2 linked regions of the Stegostoma tigrinum genome follow. The protein of the gene in region 1 interacts with the protein of each later gene in a pairwise test. Links are inferred from orthologs where the notes say so. Each region holds a gene or a part of one and is shown on either strand. Other genes may lie near its edges.

Region 1 (8,013 bases):
TCCAGAGCCATTTGATCAATTACCCTGACTGTGGCTACAATAACTCACTTGTTAAAATATTGAGGACTCCAGAAGTGTACAATAAGGGACAGAGGTGGCATCAGTTGAATGTCTGATCCATTTTTGGCTCTGATTTTCAGATAGTAGCGTAATCTTTTTTTTAAAAAATTCATTCATGGGATGTAGGTGTCACAAACTGGGCTGACATTTTTTTGCCCATTCCTTGGGAAGTTTGAGCCACTGAAGTCTGTATGCTACTGGGATAGTCACAGTTCTGATGGGGAGGGACTTCTTGTATTTTAATCCAGCAATGTTGATCAAATGACCTGATAAGTCAGGTTGGTGTGTGCCTTGGAAGGGAAACAGCAGTGGGTATGGTTCTAATGTGATGCCTTGTCTTTTAGATGATAGAGGTGGTGGTGAAGGAGCTTTGGTTTGCATATGACCATGGAGCTGAGGCAGGCCATTCAGCCCATTGAGTCTGCTACACCATTCACTGAGATCATGGTTGATCTTATAATCCTCAACTCCACTTTCCTTTCAAGGGTTATATCCATACTTTTGGTTCCCTTACTGATTAAAATTCTGCCCATATCAGCCTTGAATGCACTTAATGGCCCAACTGCAACAGCCCTTTATGGTAAAGAATTACAGAGATTCGCTCCCCTCTGAGAAAGGAGGTTCATCCTAATCTCTTTTTAAAATACGCAATCCCTTAATCTGAGATTATGCCCCATGGTTTAACACTCCCACCGGTTTGGACGGGCAAACCAGGGCAGGACTTTTACACTTAATTGTAGTGTCCTGGGAGTGTTGCTGAACAAAGCGATCGTGGGGTGCAGGTTCACAGTTCCTTGAAGGTGGAGTCACAGGTAACAGGGTAGTGTAGAAGGTGTTTGGTAAACTTGTCTTTATTGGTCAGTGCATTGAGTATAGAAGTTGAGAGGTCATGTTGTGGCAGTACATAGAAACAAAGGAGATAGGAGCAGGAGGAGACAATTCGGCCCTTCCGGTTCAGCCACATTTGGAATACTTAATTTGCATGGATTTTGCCAGGATGTGACTATTTGAGCAATAACGAGAGGCTGAATAGGCTGGGGCTATTTTCCCTGCAGCATTGGAGGCTGAGAGGTGACATTTTAGAAGTTTGTAAAATTATGAGGTGCCTCGGTGAGGTGAACAGCCAAGGGTGTTTCCCCAGGGGAGCAGAGTCCAACGCTAAAGGGGCATAGGTTTAAGGTGAGAGGAGAAAGATTTAAAAGGGACCTAAGGGGTAATGTTTTCATGCAGCGGGTGGTGTGTGTATGAAATGTGCTGCTGGAGGAAGTGGTGGAGGCTATTACAATTACAACTTTTAAAAATCATCTGCTTGGGTATGTGAACAGGAATGGTTTAGAGGGATATGGGCTGATAGCCGGCAAGTGGGACCAGATTAATTTAGGATATCTGGTCAGCATGGATGAGTTGGACTGAAGGGTTTATTTCCATGCTGTACAGTTCTATGACTTTATGAGTCTATTTGCAGACTTGGCGGTAGTACATGCACTTTTCTTCATCCAAATCACAGATATATGTTGTGAATAATTTTCTTGCAGATGGTACACAATGCTGCCATTGTGCATCAGTGCTAAAGGAGTGAAAGTTGAAAGGGGTGTGACTCAAGCCACACTGTTTGTCTTGGATGGTGTTGAGCTTCTTTAGTGTTGTTTGAAATACACCCATCCAGGCAAATGCATTCCCCCAATTACAGATTCCCCTCCATGGCACATTCCATGGGATTTGGAAATATATTTGTGCTCCTTTATATTCACTGGATTAAAATCCTGGAGCTGCTCCCTTTAACAGTAATTGTGTGTGCACCTTCACCAAACAGGCTGCAAGCAGGAGGTTTCCGCACCAATTTCAGAACAACAACTGTGGATTGGCGATAAATGCTGACTTTACCACCAACAGTCATGTCCCGTGAATGAATAAAGAGAAAACTCCTTTAATAACCTGAAATGAATCAAATATTGAATGTTTTGTCGAGAAGATAGACAAATTTCAAGGGGACAGAAAAATGAAGTGAGTGAACTGGAGTTTGAGCTTCTGTTGAACTTCAGAGAGCAGAAGATCTAAAGACAGAGCTAAACCTTGCTGTCAGTTGTCATGAGCAAAATGATTGGAGCATTGAAGAGACATTTTAAAGAGAAACTTAGGATGAAGCTGGAGAAGAAACATGAATGGGAAAACATTTGATTCCCGTTGAGAATCAGAAACTTTGGTGATCTCAGTTGGCCGAATAGCTGACTTGTGATACCAACAAGATGAGCTCAGTTCCTACTTTGGCTGAGGTTACTGTGAAAGACTCTCCTCAAGCTCTCCCCTTGCCTGAGGCAGGTTAAACTAGCACTTGTCATCTCTCTCTTTACCAGTGCAAGCAGTTCCATGTTCTGGGAGGACAACTTTACCTTTGCATGGGATGTGGGCATTGCTGTCTGGGTGAGCATTTATTGCCCGCTCCTAGTTGCCCCTGAAGAAGGTGGTGATGAGCTGCTGCCTTGAACTGCTGCAGTCCATGTGCTGCAGAAAAACCCACAGTACTGTGAGGGAGGGAGTTCTGGAAAATGTGCTATAAAATAGGAGGCGTGAGAAGCAGGAATCACACCGGTTCGAGGAAGGAACTAGAGCATTATAAATCTGAGCAGACATGGATGAAAGAAACCAAATCCAGGAGTTATGAAGTTTATAGTAAAGAGTTAAAAATGTCTTCATGATACTGACATCATTCTTTGTCACGTGACTGGTAAAGGGTAAAACACATTAGCCCTGATTGAAATATGGTACAGATCAATCAAGGCGTTAGAGCATCTCGTTTATAAAATGATCGTCTCCGTAAATTATGGTCTGTCTTCTTGGTATGAGGATGATTTTAAAATTTTTTTTACAATAGCGCTGTCATTTCGCAAGGAGTCAGCAAGACACATCTCCACAGACAAAGCGCTTGCAAATATAGCGACCAGCTTCAAATAGCTGGGAGAATGCATCTATTTCAAAAAAAAGATTAATCCGTTTTCAAATTTCTGGCTGAAATGATGAATGTCACCATCAGGAAGGAGATAGAATTTCCACCCAGTTCAGGAGTGGCGGCCCTGTAACAGATAATGAAAGACTTAAGAGTTCAACCGTTTATTTACACAACGTGGGGCTTGAAATGCCAAATCCCCTGGTTTGAAATAAGTGCCAAGATATATCTGTTGATGATTAGACATAAGTTAGGCATCCACTTCCGAACGCTCATTTTGATTCTGGGTGCCTGAAAGATGCGTGTAAATTCATTCATTCATTCAGTCATTCATTCATTCAAGGCATGTCGTGTGACACAGATGCCGTTTCAGTCACATTAAACCGAACACATTTTAAACTGATCTGAGGAAGGGTCACTGGACTCGAAACGTTAACTCTTGATTTGTCTCCACAGATGCTGCCAGAACTGCTGAGTTTCTCCAGTAATTTCTGTTTCTGATTTCCAGCATCGCCGTTCTTTCGGTTTTTAAAGGGTCTGTGTTGCAAGTTGCACGTTAGCCCAGAACGGGCGAATGAACCTGTGTTCCGGGTGAGGGTCTGCACTGCACTAATCTGCAGATACACAGTGAGCTGGTTTAAATCTCTGGGTGGTTATTCTTCCGGCTTAATGTGCAGCTTTTAACCCTCATGTTGTAGACAATTTTAAATCTCTCAATGGGCCTGAGGGGCTTAAACCCGGCTCTTCTGGTCCAAAGTTGAGGACATTGCCACAAGAACCCTACTCCTCCCTCTATATTTCCCCCCGAATCGACCTATTTAGAGATATTATTAACCGCCACTGGAGCAGGTGGGATTTGAACCCAGATCTCCCGACAACGGGTAGGGAAACGATGACAAGAACCCCAGATTCGCCCCCCCCCCCTTTATGGACTGACATGACTCAATCATAATTTAAAACTAGTGACTTTTTTTTAGTAATATAGATGTAGGAGAGCTTACTGAAGCTACAGATGGTTTTTGTGCTACAGTGAAATAATGGCACACTTTGCCAGTTCCCAGTCTGTTAGGACACTCCCTTTTTGCAGTGATTTTTTTTGTATTCCTGATTTGAGAGAACTGGACCAATCAGACGTTTGTATTGTCAGATTTCGCCCCCCCCCACTCTTTTTTTCACTGCCTTGCTTTCTGATCTCAACTGTGTTCTTTCTAGCATAAGGTACGGATGTGTGCACATTTCAAACGACAGGCGGTAGGAATTGGTTGCAGCTGTCTGTCTCTGTCAGGTGAAGCACAGCCATGAAGTTGTCTGTGTGTGAAATGTACAGAGAGGGCCAGGATACTGCATCGCACCGAATTGTCAGTTTGCTCGCTATGGGATCCTTCGATTCTTCTGACTGAGCCTAGCCCCGGGTCAGCCTGAGGACATGCTGTGCGTCTTTCCAAGGACAACTGGATATTAACGCATTAAAACTGTGCATCTGCATCTGGACTAAAGGCGCTGGAGAGGCTTATGAGCACGGGTTGGAAATTCTGCACACGCACGCACACACACACTGTACTTTCTACACTCATTTGTCCAAGGAACCCAGAAAGGCGGCATGTTATTTATGCACTGGACTGGCGTGATTTAGGAACCGGAGGGGTTGACTCCAGAGAGAGAGAGAGAAAACAAACTGCAGACCTTCAGAGCTGCAAGGAAGAGGGGATACAGATTGTGAGCCATCGCATCTTTTTGTTTTCCCCGACCGTCATTCTGTTCCAACAGCTGCCAAAAAAAGTCCCCTTTCTGCGAGGGGGAGGCATGAAGCAGGTTGAATCAGAGGAACAGAAAGTGACACGGTAGGAAGTACCCCACCTTGGCGGAACACTGTAGAGAGAGCCGGTTCCAGTACGGGAGGCTGCTGTTTCCCAGGCACCTTAACTCCTACTCCCCTGGGGCGACTGCGGCGAGCTCGCAGGCGAAGGACGTATCGAAGAGTGGGGGGGGGGGGGGCACAAAAAATGCCAGCAATTCTCGTGGCCTCGAAAATGAAGTCGGGACTGCCCAAGCCGGTCCATACTGCTAGCCCCATCCCAAATGTCAGCGCCAGGGCTGTGCAGCAGTCTGGTTACCTGAAGCTGGGCAGCAAGGTGGAAGTGACCAGGCCCATGTACTCGAGCCTGATCCCACTCAAATCATCGCATGTGTTGGACAGTGAAGGGGAGAAGCTGCTACTCGGCAAGAGCAACACGGCAGAAAATAGCTTTGACACCCAGGTCAGAAAAAAAAACAAAACTGTGATTCTCTTTCAGTTCATGACTCTCTGGTTTAAAACAATTCATATTGTAGCGTTTAGCAAAAGAGGAAATGTGCAAGAGATTATCAAGCCGCGGAATATTCCTATTCTCGCTAATCATTTCAGGGAAGCGTTGGTATGTTGGGAATGTCACGGGGCAATATTCTGGGATGCAGATTTAAATCCTATCATAGTTAGTGTGGTTTACATTCAACTTTTAACATTTGGAATTAGTCTCAGATCAATGGTCATCACGAAGATACCTGTGTGGTTCACTAATGCTCTTCAGGGAAAGTAATCTGACATCCCTCACCTGTCCTGACCTTCATGTAACTCCAGACCCACAGGGCAGTGATGGCCCAGTAGTATTATCACTGGACTGTTAATCCAGAGACCTAGGTAATGTTCTGAGGACCCATGTTTGAACCCTGCTGTGGCAGATGGTGGAATGTGAACTCAATAAAAATAACTCGAATTAAGAATCTAATGATGGCCATGAGTCCATTGTTGATTGTCAGGGAAAACCCATCTGGTTCACTTAATGACCTTTAGGGAAGGAAACTGCCATCCTCAACTGGCCTGGCTTACATGTGACTCCAGGCTCACAGCAATGTGGTTGACACTTAACCGACCTCTGGGCAATTAGGGATGGACAGTAAATATGGCCTAGCCAGCGATGCCCTCATCTCATGAATCAATAAAGGGAAAAAAATGTGGTTGACCCTTAACTCCCTTTTGAGTTGTCCCTGCAGAACACTTTGGAAGGACAATATATTGCTTCATTCAATGGACGGGGGTGTCACTGGCTGGACACAGTACTTGTTGCCCATCTCTAATTGCCAGAGGACAGTTAAGAGCCAACCACATTGCTGTGGATCTGGAGTCACATGTCAGCCAGACCGGGTAAGGACAGCAGATTTCCTTCTCTAAAAGGTAATGGTGAAATGAGTGGGTTTTAAATGACATTTGGAAACAGTTTCATTGTCAGCATTTGACTTTTAATTCCAGGTTTGTGCTGAATTCAGATTGCTTCCGTTGGTCGTGGTGAGATTAGAACTATGTCCTCAGAACATTAGTCCGGGATTCTATATTACTGGCGCTGTAGCATTGCTTCTTGTATCATTTCCTTCCAGTGAATTAAGGCTCCTCTCTGCTGGTCTTGCCAGTATGCCCATGCCCTGTCACTGAATAAAGGGAAAATAAATGACAAAGCCACAAGGAGTGATGTGAAATGACAGGGCATTCAGTTTGATTTGGCCAGGTGCCCTGCATTTTATGATCAACGGCACATTCTACTGTAACTGCTGGTCAGTGTGACATATCCGGCTACAGTATGTAGGGTAGAGTTTTGGACTGGTGCCAGAATCTGAAGGGATTTATGCCTGTGACTAATATTGGAATAATTATTATTAGTGCAAAGATAGTGGCCGAGCCTTCTTCACAAGCTTTCTGAAGTTAATTGCTTGTTACCAGTGCACAATCGCTGCTCCCTCCAACGCACAGAAGCTGACTGTTGAGAATTCCTTCAGCTTAACCCTGTCATCTCTTAAAAAACAGGACTTTCAATGAAATTAGATGAGAGCATATTGCAGTGAGTAAACAGGACTAAAATTGTAAGGGCTAAATAATAATTGTGCCTTGATTTTTGCTTAGATGAGGTACAATATATCTCCTGCAATTGTGTAAACTAAAATGAAAGCCTTGTCAGATTTGTTCTGCAGTTTCATCTAGCCTTCTGCAGCCTTTCAAAGAAAGCTAAATTAGGTAATGTTTCAATTGCTCCTCGGAATAGTAACCAGCTAAAGGCTGAGATTACTCTAAGCTTCCATTTGTTATAATGCAGCATTACCAATTTTGGGCAGGGAAAATTGGGAGAATGTTGGAAGATATGGAAAAGAAAATGAAGCTTTTATGTCTGTTGACCCATCAAATATTGTATTACAATTTATAAAAAGACTGAGTGTTTTTGCTTTTTTTGTGTGCATTCCTGTGATGAGTGAAGGTGTAAATTGCTGTATGGTCACCATTTATGGCAGTAAGACTGTTTCTTTATTTGAGATCTGTATTCTCAATTGTAACTCAGAATCATATTTGAGAGCCACGTGTTGTTTGATGAAAAAGCATCAAAACATTTGCCTTGGCAAATTGGTCAGCTGGGCTCATTAAATTATAACTGAGGAAAGCAAACTCCAGGCTGGGAGGAGTTGGAAAGAGAGATGGCGAGTGGGGTACAGGGGAACTCAATATGAGAAAATGAAATGTGCCAGTATCACATTATTGAATTGGGATAGTTTTCAGGTCAGGGGGGTGGGATTAGGGGATCATAAAACATAATTAAAATGACCCCACAAATGGATGAGACCATGAGTAGCGTCAGGGGTTTACCTACAAGGATGTAAAGAATGTGACAAAAGACTTGCAAAAAACTGACAGTTTGCTGATTTGACCAGGGCAGTTGAGGATTTGAACACGTTAATGAAGAAATGAATTATGTTTCAATATTATAGGTAGCTCAGAGGCTTTAGAAAATATAGGTACAAGATTAACTGTAAGAAATATAAAGGCTTTGAAAGTGGAGTTGAGGATTTTCAGATCAGCCGTGATTTCAGTGAATTGTGGAGCAGAGCTGATGGGCTGAATGGCCTGCTTCCATTCCTACATCTTCTGGCTTTATGACTTATGCGACAGAGCGGCAAATACATTTAAAAGGGGGCTGTGGAACATACTTCCA
Region 2 (8,005 bases), on another chromosome or scaffold:
TGCTAGATGGAATTCAACCCAGGAAAGTGTGAAGTCATTCATTTTGGAAGGTTGTATTTGAATGCAGAATACAGGGTTAATGGCAGGATTCTTGGTAGTGTGGAGGAACAGAGGGATCTTGGTGTCCACATCCTCAAAGTTGCTACACAAGTTGATAATGTTGTAAAGAAGGTGTGTGATGTGTTGGCTTTCATTAGCAGGTCGCCTCATTATAGGAAGTATGTGGAAGCTTTAGAGAGGGCGCAGACGAGATTTACCAGGATGCTGCCAGACTGGAGGGGAGGTTTTATGAGGTAAGGTTGAGAGAGCCAAGGCTTTTTTCATTGATGCGATGAAGGATGAGAGGTGACTTATATTTCATATTATTTCATTTCATTTCATTGGTCCATTTATTATTCAATGTATATTTTCATGTCTTTATGAATGTTAATTTTCAAGTTAATGTTAGAAATTAAACAATAACACAAATGAGAAGGGTAAACTACTTTTCCTACACCTCCCTTAATAAACTATCAATAATAGAAATTTATTAAGTGGCTGTTTGTTATGGTGAAAATCCGTCATTATCACATTTGTAAAAATATTTAATTTTCATTCCCCAGGTCTTTCCTTAATATTGATTATAAACTAGTTGAATCACAGAACCCCAACAGTGTGGAAACAGGCCATTTGGTACAAGAAGTCCACACCATGCCTCCAAAGAGCATCCTATGTTGACTCCTTCCCCTACCCCTGCATTTCCCACGTCTAACCCTAATATCCCTGGACACTACAGGCAATGTAGCCTGGCCAATCCACCTAGCCGGCACATCTTTGGACTGTGGGAGAAAACTGGAGCACCAGAGGAACCCACACAGTCGCCCAAGGGTGGAATTGAACCAGGATCCTGGCGCGGTGAGGCAGCAGAGCTAACCACTGAGCCACCGTGCTGACTGAGTCTTGGCTTGCTGCTGAAGTTATTTTGAACTCCTGAAATGTATTACAAACATTGAAAACGACATGTAACATGTGTCTCACACCTTAGTTACAGAAAAATAGTTCTGTGAAACTTATACTTAACCCTTTGTGGATCTTAGAGCTGAGTCATGCCGACCAAGAAAAAATATATAACTTAACCATGCATTTTGATAACTTCCAGCTATTTACACGGGCCACATGAAGCTTTGGTCAAAAACTTTACAAAAATTAGTGTAGGCTGTCTTCTCTCGTGTCTTACCATATTTTGCAAATTTATCCATAACCACCTATACATATCTTATTGAGCAAATTTCAGTATATCATGTATTCACTGTTCTAAGCAAAATTTCTTCTTAGGCACAACAGTTGCAACTTGAAGATCGCCTTGATAAAGAGCAGTTCCCAAGACAAGTATTGGTTTCTGTCCTAAGATAACAAGGTGTAGAGCTGGATGAACACAGCAGGCCAAGTAGCATCGAAGGAGCAGGAAAGCTGACATTTCAGGTCTGGACCCTTCTTCACTTAAGGCTCTCTTCACACTAGCTCTAAGAATTAACTAGCAGTGGGAGAGGCCCACACTAAGTCCTCAGTCCAGCAGAATGGGTTGGTAGCTGGTATTTGGTAACCACCCTAGTAGGCAGCCTAGGCACATTGGGGGACAACCACCCAAGGTGTAACTCCTCCAGATTTCTCTCCCATCAAGGCATGGAGCACCATTACCCAAGGCCCTAAGCTTGGTGCTCCTGGTGCTTGGTTTTGATTAGATTCCCTACAGTGTGGAAACAGGCCCTTTGGCCCAACAAGTCCACACTGCCCCTTAGAGCATCCCACCCAGACCCATCCCCCTATAACCCATACGCTCCTGAACACTACGGGCAATTTAGCATGGCTGATCCCCCTAGCCTGCACATCTTTGGACTGTGGGAGGAAATTGGAGCACCCGGAGGAAACCCATGCAGACACGGGGGGAATGTGCAAACTCCACACAGATAGTTACCTGAGGCTGGAATCGAACCTGGGTCCCTGGTGCTGTGAAGCTGCAGTGCTAACCACTGAGCCACCGTGAAAGATTGGCTTTGTGATGGTCCAGGCTATGCACACCACGCTCTGTAGTTTCTTATGGTTCTGGGCAGAGCAGTTGCCAGACCAGGCCGTTAAGCACCCAGATAGTATGTTTTCAATGGTGCATCTGTGGAAGTTGGTGAGGGACCTTATGGACATGACAAATTTCCTGAGCCACATGATGAAGAGGCATTGTTGTGCCTTCTTGACCGTCACATCTACATGAGAAGCCAAGGGCAGGTTGTCAGTTATTGTCACTCCGAGGAACTTGATGCTCTTCACCCTTTCAACCTCAGTTCCATTAATATAGATGGGGACATGTTCTCCTACTTTCTTTCTGAAATCAATGATTAGTTCTTTAGTTTTGCCAATGTTAAGGGCCAGATTGTTTTCATTGCAACACGTCACCAAGCCCTCTATCTTCCTGTTGTAATTTGACTCACTGTTGCAATACTATTGGTGGAAATGCCAGAGCTGCCAGTTTCTGATTGGCCGACAGCTTTCCAAGTTCTTGAAATATGGAAGCCCTACCTCCATCCTATTACTGGGCCAACTGGCAATTAATGGCTGCACAGTAGCCAGTATTTTCCTCAATGAGTTTCTATTCCCTTCCTTTACAGCTGATGGAGTTCAGTATTTCATATACTTTGTCCCACAGTTTCAGTTAATAAGAAAATAGTTATGAGCACAAGCAAATTAAGGGTATTCAGTTAATGCCCATCACTCGTATACAATTAAACATGTTTTGCTGTCTTAATATTTTCAAACTGTTTTTCTAAAGTCTGCTCATAACCTAGATGATGTTTTTCAATTAAACACCGGGAAATCAGGAAAAAAATGCCTTTGGTCCTCTTCTCAGGCTTCAATCCACAGACACTGATTCCATTCCCTGGTCACTGTTTCAAAGTCTGCAGTCTAGTTGATCACACACTGAGCTTTCTGCCTATGACTTCGGTTCTGAGGAAGTCGCAAAACATTAACTGTTTCTCTCTCCACAGCCAAACCTGCTGAGTCTTCTAGAATTCTCTGTGTTTATTTCTACCTCATGTCATTTTCATCGCAAAGACTGCTGTTTTCTATCTCAGAGAAAATTACTACAGATGCTGGAATCTGAACTGAAAACAGAAAATGCTGGCTATCACAGTGGGTCAGGCAGTATCTATGGTGAGAAAGCAAGCTAACGTTTGGAGTCTAGATGACCTTTGTTGGTGGGTTTTATACCAAAGTTAGAGTTGGACTTGAGAAAGCAAAGTTCAGCTTCATACCCCTACAGCCTCACCTTAATGGATTTTGGGCTCACCATGGCGTCGAACTGTTTTTCTGCTACCTCTGTCTCTGTGCTCACTTTCTCAGTCAGGATTCACCACCACAATGCCCATCCACACCCCATTCCACTGATCCCTTCACCTGTCTCCAGTATTCACCCTCCACTTGGACCCCTTCCCTCGTTCTCTTTGTTAAAAACTGCCAGCATGGCATCGGCTATCTTAATTTCCTCTCACCCACACTAATCTGTTTCCTTCTGAAACTGCCGCACTTTGCTCTCTCAGCTCCAACCCTAATTTTGTTACCAAACTAAAATTACCTCACTTCCTTAAAGGTTACAGAATTGGTACAATGCAGAAAGTGACTCAGCCCATGGTGTCTACATCTGCTCCAAGTAAGCAATTTACTTAATCCAATTCTCCTGTCTTCTTCCCTTAACTCTGCATGTTGATCATTTTCAGATGTTTCTTAAAACCTGCTATAGAAATGTAAGGTTTTTAAAAGTTAAGTCATAAGATTAATTATACTGTAACATTATCAGAATTGTTTTGTTAAATGTAACTATTTACAAGGCAAAATAAGAGATAACATTTGCTGAAACCTTACAGACTCAAGTTCCAGTTGACATATCTCCTTTTATGCTCAGTACTTGGAGTAAAAGCACTATGACCCATTTACACCTTCCTCTTCCTCTATTAGTGTATACTTCTTTGGCTCAGTATATTGGTTTGTCTAGTTAGGCTGTCTTGAAGAATTTTGGAATGTTTTATAATATTAAAATCATTACAAGTACATGCTGTGGTAAATAGTAAAATTAAGTGTCTGGAATAGCAAAGATGCTCATTTCTCCAACACTTTGATGAGGGTATCACCACCATCAAAGTGTGGGTCTCTTTACTGCTGATGAAGGATTTGTCTCTGACTGACAGTCGAATGTTAAGCAAGGAGGCAATTGCTCACAGATAATGGGAACTGCAGATGCTGGAGATTCCAAGATAATAAAATGTGAGGCTGGATGAACACAGCAGGCCAAGCAGCATTGCTCACAACCTGCTTTCATGTTTTACGTGGTGTTCAGACAGATGTTGATTTTCAGATACAGTTAGAAATATTGTTCTGTTGGAAATGCAGAAAAGAAAGGGGATTGTACAGTGGGGAACTAACCGTATTCTCCTTAAGCGTTGAGATTACTTGTTGGCTGACACATCGGCATCCGAAGGTTGCAGGAACAGCAACTCATATTCCGCTTAGAAACCCTGCAGCCCAATGGTATCAATGTGGACTTCACAAGCTTCAAAATCTCCACTTCCCCCACTGCATTCGAAAACCAGCCCAGATCCTCCCCTCCTCCCATTGCATCAAAAAACCAGCCCAGCTCGTCCCCGCCTCCCTAACCTGTTCGTCCTCTCACCCATCCCCTCCTCCCACCTCAAGCTGCACCTCCATTTCCAACCTACTAACCTCATCCCGCCCCCTTGACCTGTCCGTCCTCCCCGGACTAACCTATCCCCTCCCTACTTCCCCACCTACACTCTCCTCTTCGGTCCGCCTCCCCCTCTCTCCCTATTTATTCCAGAACCCTCTCCCCATCCCCCTTTCTGATGAAGGGTCTAGGCCCAAAACGTCAGCTTTTGTGCTCCTGAGATGCTGCTTGGCCTGCTGTGTTCATCCAGCTCCACACTTTATTATCTTGGATCTACCCATTGTTGTTTACGTTTCCCTCCATTCTGGTGGGGTGCAACTTACAGGCCTTTAAGCCTCAAGAGACGATAGCAATATCTCACAGTACAGTGATCAGGGTGAGTATCTGGCATGGTAGCCAGTAAGTCTTGCAGCAAATTTTGGAGCGTGAAGGAGTGGCCAAGGGTGAAGATGACGTCACGCCGTCGACGTCGAACGAGACGCCACACTGCAGTGCATAATGGGACGGGCCGAAAGATGGCGGATTTTGACGAGTTGAGGGTGAGTGGCTCAGTGTGCGAGGGAAGAGGGAGTGAGAGAGACAGAGAGAGAAGGAGAAGGAGAGGGAGGGGGCGGGCAGGAGCAGAACCTGGAGAAGAGAAGGTGCCCAGCTCGAAACGGCGGGCCAAGGTGAAAGAGGCAAGGCATGACTCTGAGGAACGAGCTACCCCAACCAGGGAAGCGTTCCTGGTAATTAGATTTTTAAAAAAAAAATCCTCAGACCGGAACCTTAACAACTAATTGGCCGCCGCGAGAAAATTTATATGAAACAAATCAGCCGACCTTTAATAATCTGGACAGCCCACCTCGCTGTTGGTGACCGGGCCGTTAGGCCTTTGATTTGACAATTGCCCCCGCCTTTTCTTCTCCGGGCATCTACTCTGTGAGGAGGCTATCGCCGATACTTGAAGTGAATTTAGTCCTGATTAGTTTAAGTTTTCGTTTCACTAAACTGCGTTTTCGGTGATTTATTTCCTGCCGCGTTCTTTTGTCTTTTAAGTTTTAGACAGCAATTTACGTATCTTTTAATGCGGATGTTTTAAGTTATTTTTGCTTTCATGATTGGTTTGTATTTTTGATGGTGCGAATTCCTCCGATCTTTAGTTTGTTTTTTTGTATTATCTGAGTAAATAAAAGATTTAATATACAAGTATCTTTTGAATGAACATCTCAAAGTAAAATTTTACTCATAAAAGATTCCCCATTTTACAAACAGAGCTGTCTGTTCCCGTCGTCTTAAACTTGTGACAAATTAGCCATGCCAAGTTTCCCTAATGGAAAAAACCCTGGTCCTCCGTTTTTTTTAAACACTTGATTAGTCAAACATCAAGTGTCATAATCTGATTGGATATTTTGAATCCTAATAAGGGATATCTGCTGTTAGGTCAAGTTACCTGATTTAAATAAAACACTAGGTGATATTTGGGTCCAGCTGGGTGCAATGTGAGTGCTGCCTATGTCAAAAGCTTAAGAATATAAAGTACTGTCATTAATGTGATTCCATCAAACATTTGTCATTAGGTGTTAACAGTGAACCGATGGAAAACAAGGAAGAGGGTTGACAATGTTACCAGACTGCAAGCAACTTACATATGCTTAGTGCTGAAATAATGATTTACCTGAGTTTAAATCACTTGAAGGTCAGAAAGGTGTAGATGATAACCTAGTGCTAAAATGCAGTTTAGTGGCGAAATGATTTTTGGAAATGTGAAACTTAAGATAAGACCATAAGACGTAGGAGTGGAAGTAAGGCCATTCGGCCCACTGCATCCACTCTAAAGACTGATGGACATTTCAACTCCACTTACCCGCACTCTCCCATAGCCCTTAATTCCTTGCGAGATCAAGAATTTATCACCTCTGCCTTGACATTTAACGTCCCGGCCTCCACTGCACTCCGTGGCAATGAATTCCACAGGCCCACCACACTCTGGCTGAAGAAATGTCTCCTCATGTCCATTCTAAATTGACCCCCTCTAATTCTAAGGCTGTGCTCACAGGTCCTAGTCTCCTCGCCTAACGGAAACAACTTCCCAGAGTCCACCCCTTCTAAGCCATGAATTATCTTGTAAGTTTCTATTAGATCTCCCCTCAACCTTCTAAACGCTAATGAATACAATCCCAGGATCCTCAGCCGTTCATCGTATGTTGGGCCTACTATTCCAGGGATCATCCATGTGAATCTTCGCTGGACACGCTCCAGTGCCAGGTTGTCTGTCTTGAGGTGTGGAGCCCAAAATTGGACACTGTCTTCTAAATGGGGCCTAACTAGAGCTTTATAAAGTCTCAGAAACATATCGCTGCTTTTATATTCCAACCCTCTTGAGATAAACGACAACATGGCATTCGCTTTCTTAATCACTGACTGTACCTGCAAGTTAACCTTTAGAGAATCCTGGACCAACACTCCCAGATTCCTTTGTACTTCGACTTTATGAATTTTCTCACTGCTTAGAAAATAATCCATGCCTGTATTCTTTTTTCCAAAGTGCAAGACCTCGCGTTTGCTCATGTTGAATTTCATCAGCCATTTCCTGGACCACTCTCCTAAACTGTCTAAATGTTTCTGCAGCCTCCCAACCTCCTCAGTACTACCTGCCAGTCCACCTAACTTCGTATCATTGCCAGAATGCCCCCAGTCCCTTCATCCAGATCATTAATATATAAAGTGACCAGCTGCGGCCCCAACACTGAACCCTGCGGGACACTACTCGTCACCGGTTGCCGTTCCGAAAAAGAGCCTTTTATCCCAACTCTGCCTTCTGTCAGACAGCCAATCCTCAATCCATGCCAGTTCTGAGGAAGGGTCACCGGACCTGAAGCGTTAACTTTTTTTTTCTCCTCCACAGAAGCTGCCAGACCTGCTGAGCTCTTCCAGCAACTTTGTTTTTGTTCCTCAATTCATGCCAGTAGCTCACCTCGAATCCCATGGGCCCTCACCTTACTCACCAGCCTCCCGTGAGGCGCCTTATCAAAGGTTTTTGGGAAGTCTAGATAGATAACATCTAGTGGGTTTACCTGGTCTAACATACTTGTTACCTCTTCAAAGTATTCTAACAGGTCTGTCAGGCATGACCTCCCCTTACTAAATCCATGCTGACTTGTTCTAATCTGACCCTGCACTTCCAAGAATTTAGAAATCTCATTCTTAACAATGGATTCTAGAATTTTACCAACAACTGAGGTTAGGCTAATCGGCCTATAATTTTCCATCTTTTGTCTTGATCCTTTCTTGAACAAGGGGGTTACAACAGTGATT

The links.
Region 2: the proteins of nav2a (region 1) and pias2 interact in binary tests that used the Homo sapiens proteins (3 or more experiments, as listed by UniProt). The two-hybrid records come from large-scale screens. The link is inferred for Stegostoma tigrinum from reciprocal best matches to the Homo sapiens genes NAV2 and PIAS2.

Annotation. Positions count from the first base shown.
Region 1 is NC_081370.1:59,651,451-59,659,463, reverse strand, and holds the start of nav2a (neuron navigator 2), read left to right. Parts: upstream 1-5,007; coding exon 5,008-5,262; intron 5,263-8,013. UniProt on the Homo sapiens protein: Possesses 3' to 5' helicase activity and exonuclease activity. Involved in neuronal development, specifically in the development of different sensory organs.
Region 2 is NC_081354.1:161,550,078-161,558,082, forward strand, and holds the start of pias2 (E3 SUMO-protein ligase PIAS2), read left to right. Parts: upstream 1-4,998; 5' UTR 4,999-5,097; coding exon 5,098-5,247; intron 5,248-5,341; exon of another isoform or gene 5,342-5,436; intron 5,437-8,005. UniProt on the Homo sapiens protein: Functions as an E3-type small ubiquitin-like modifier (SUMO) ligase, stabilizing the interaction between UBE2I and the substrate, and as a SUMO-tethering factor.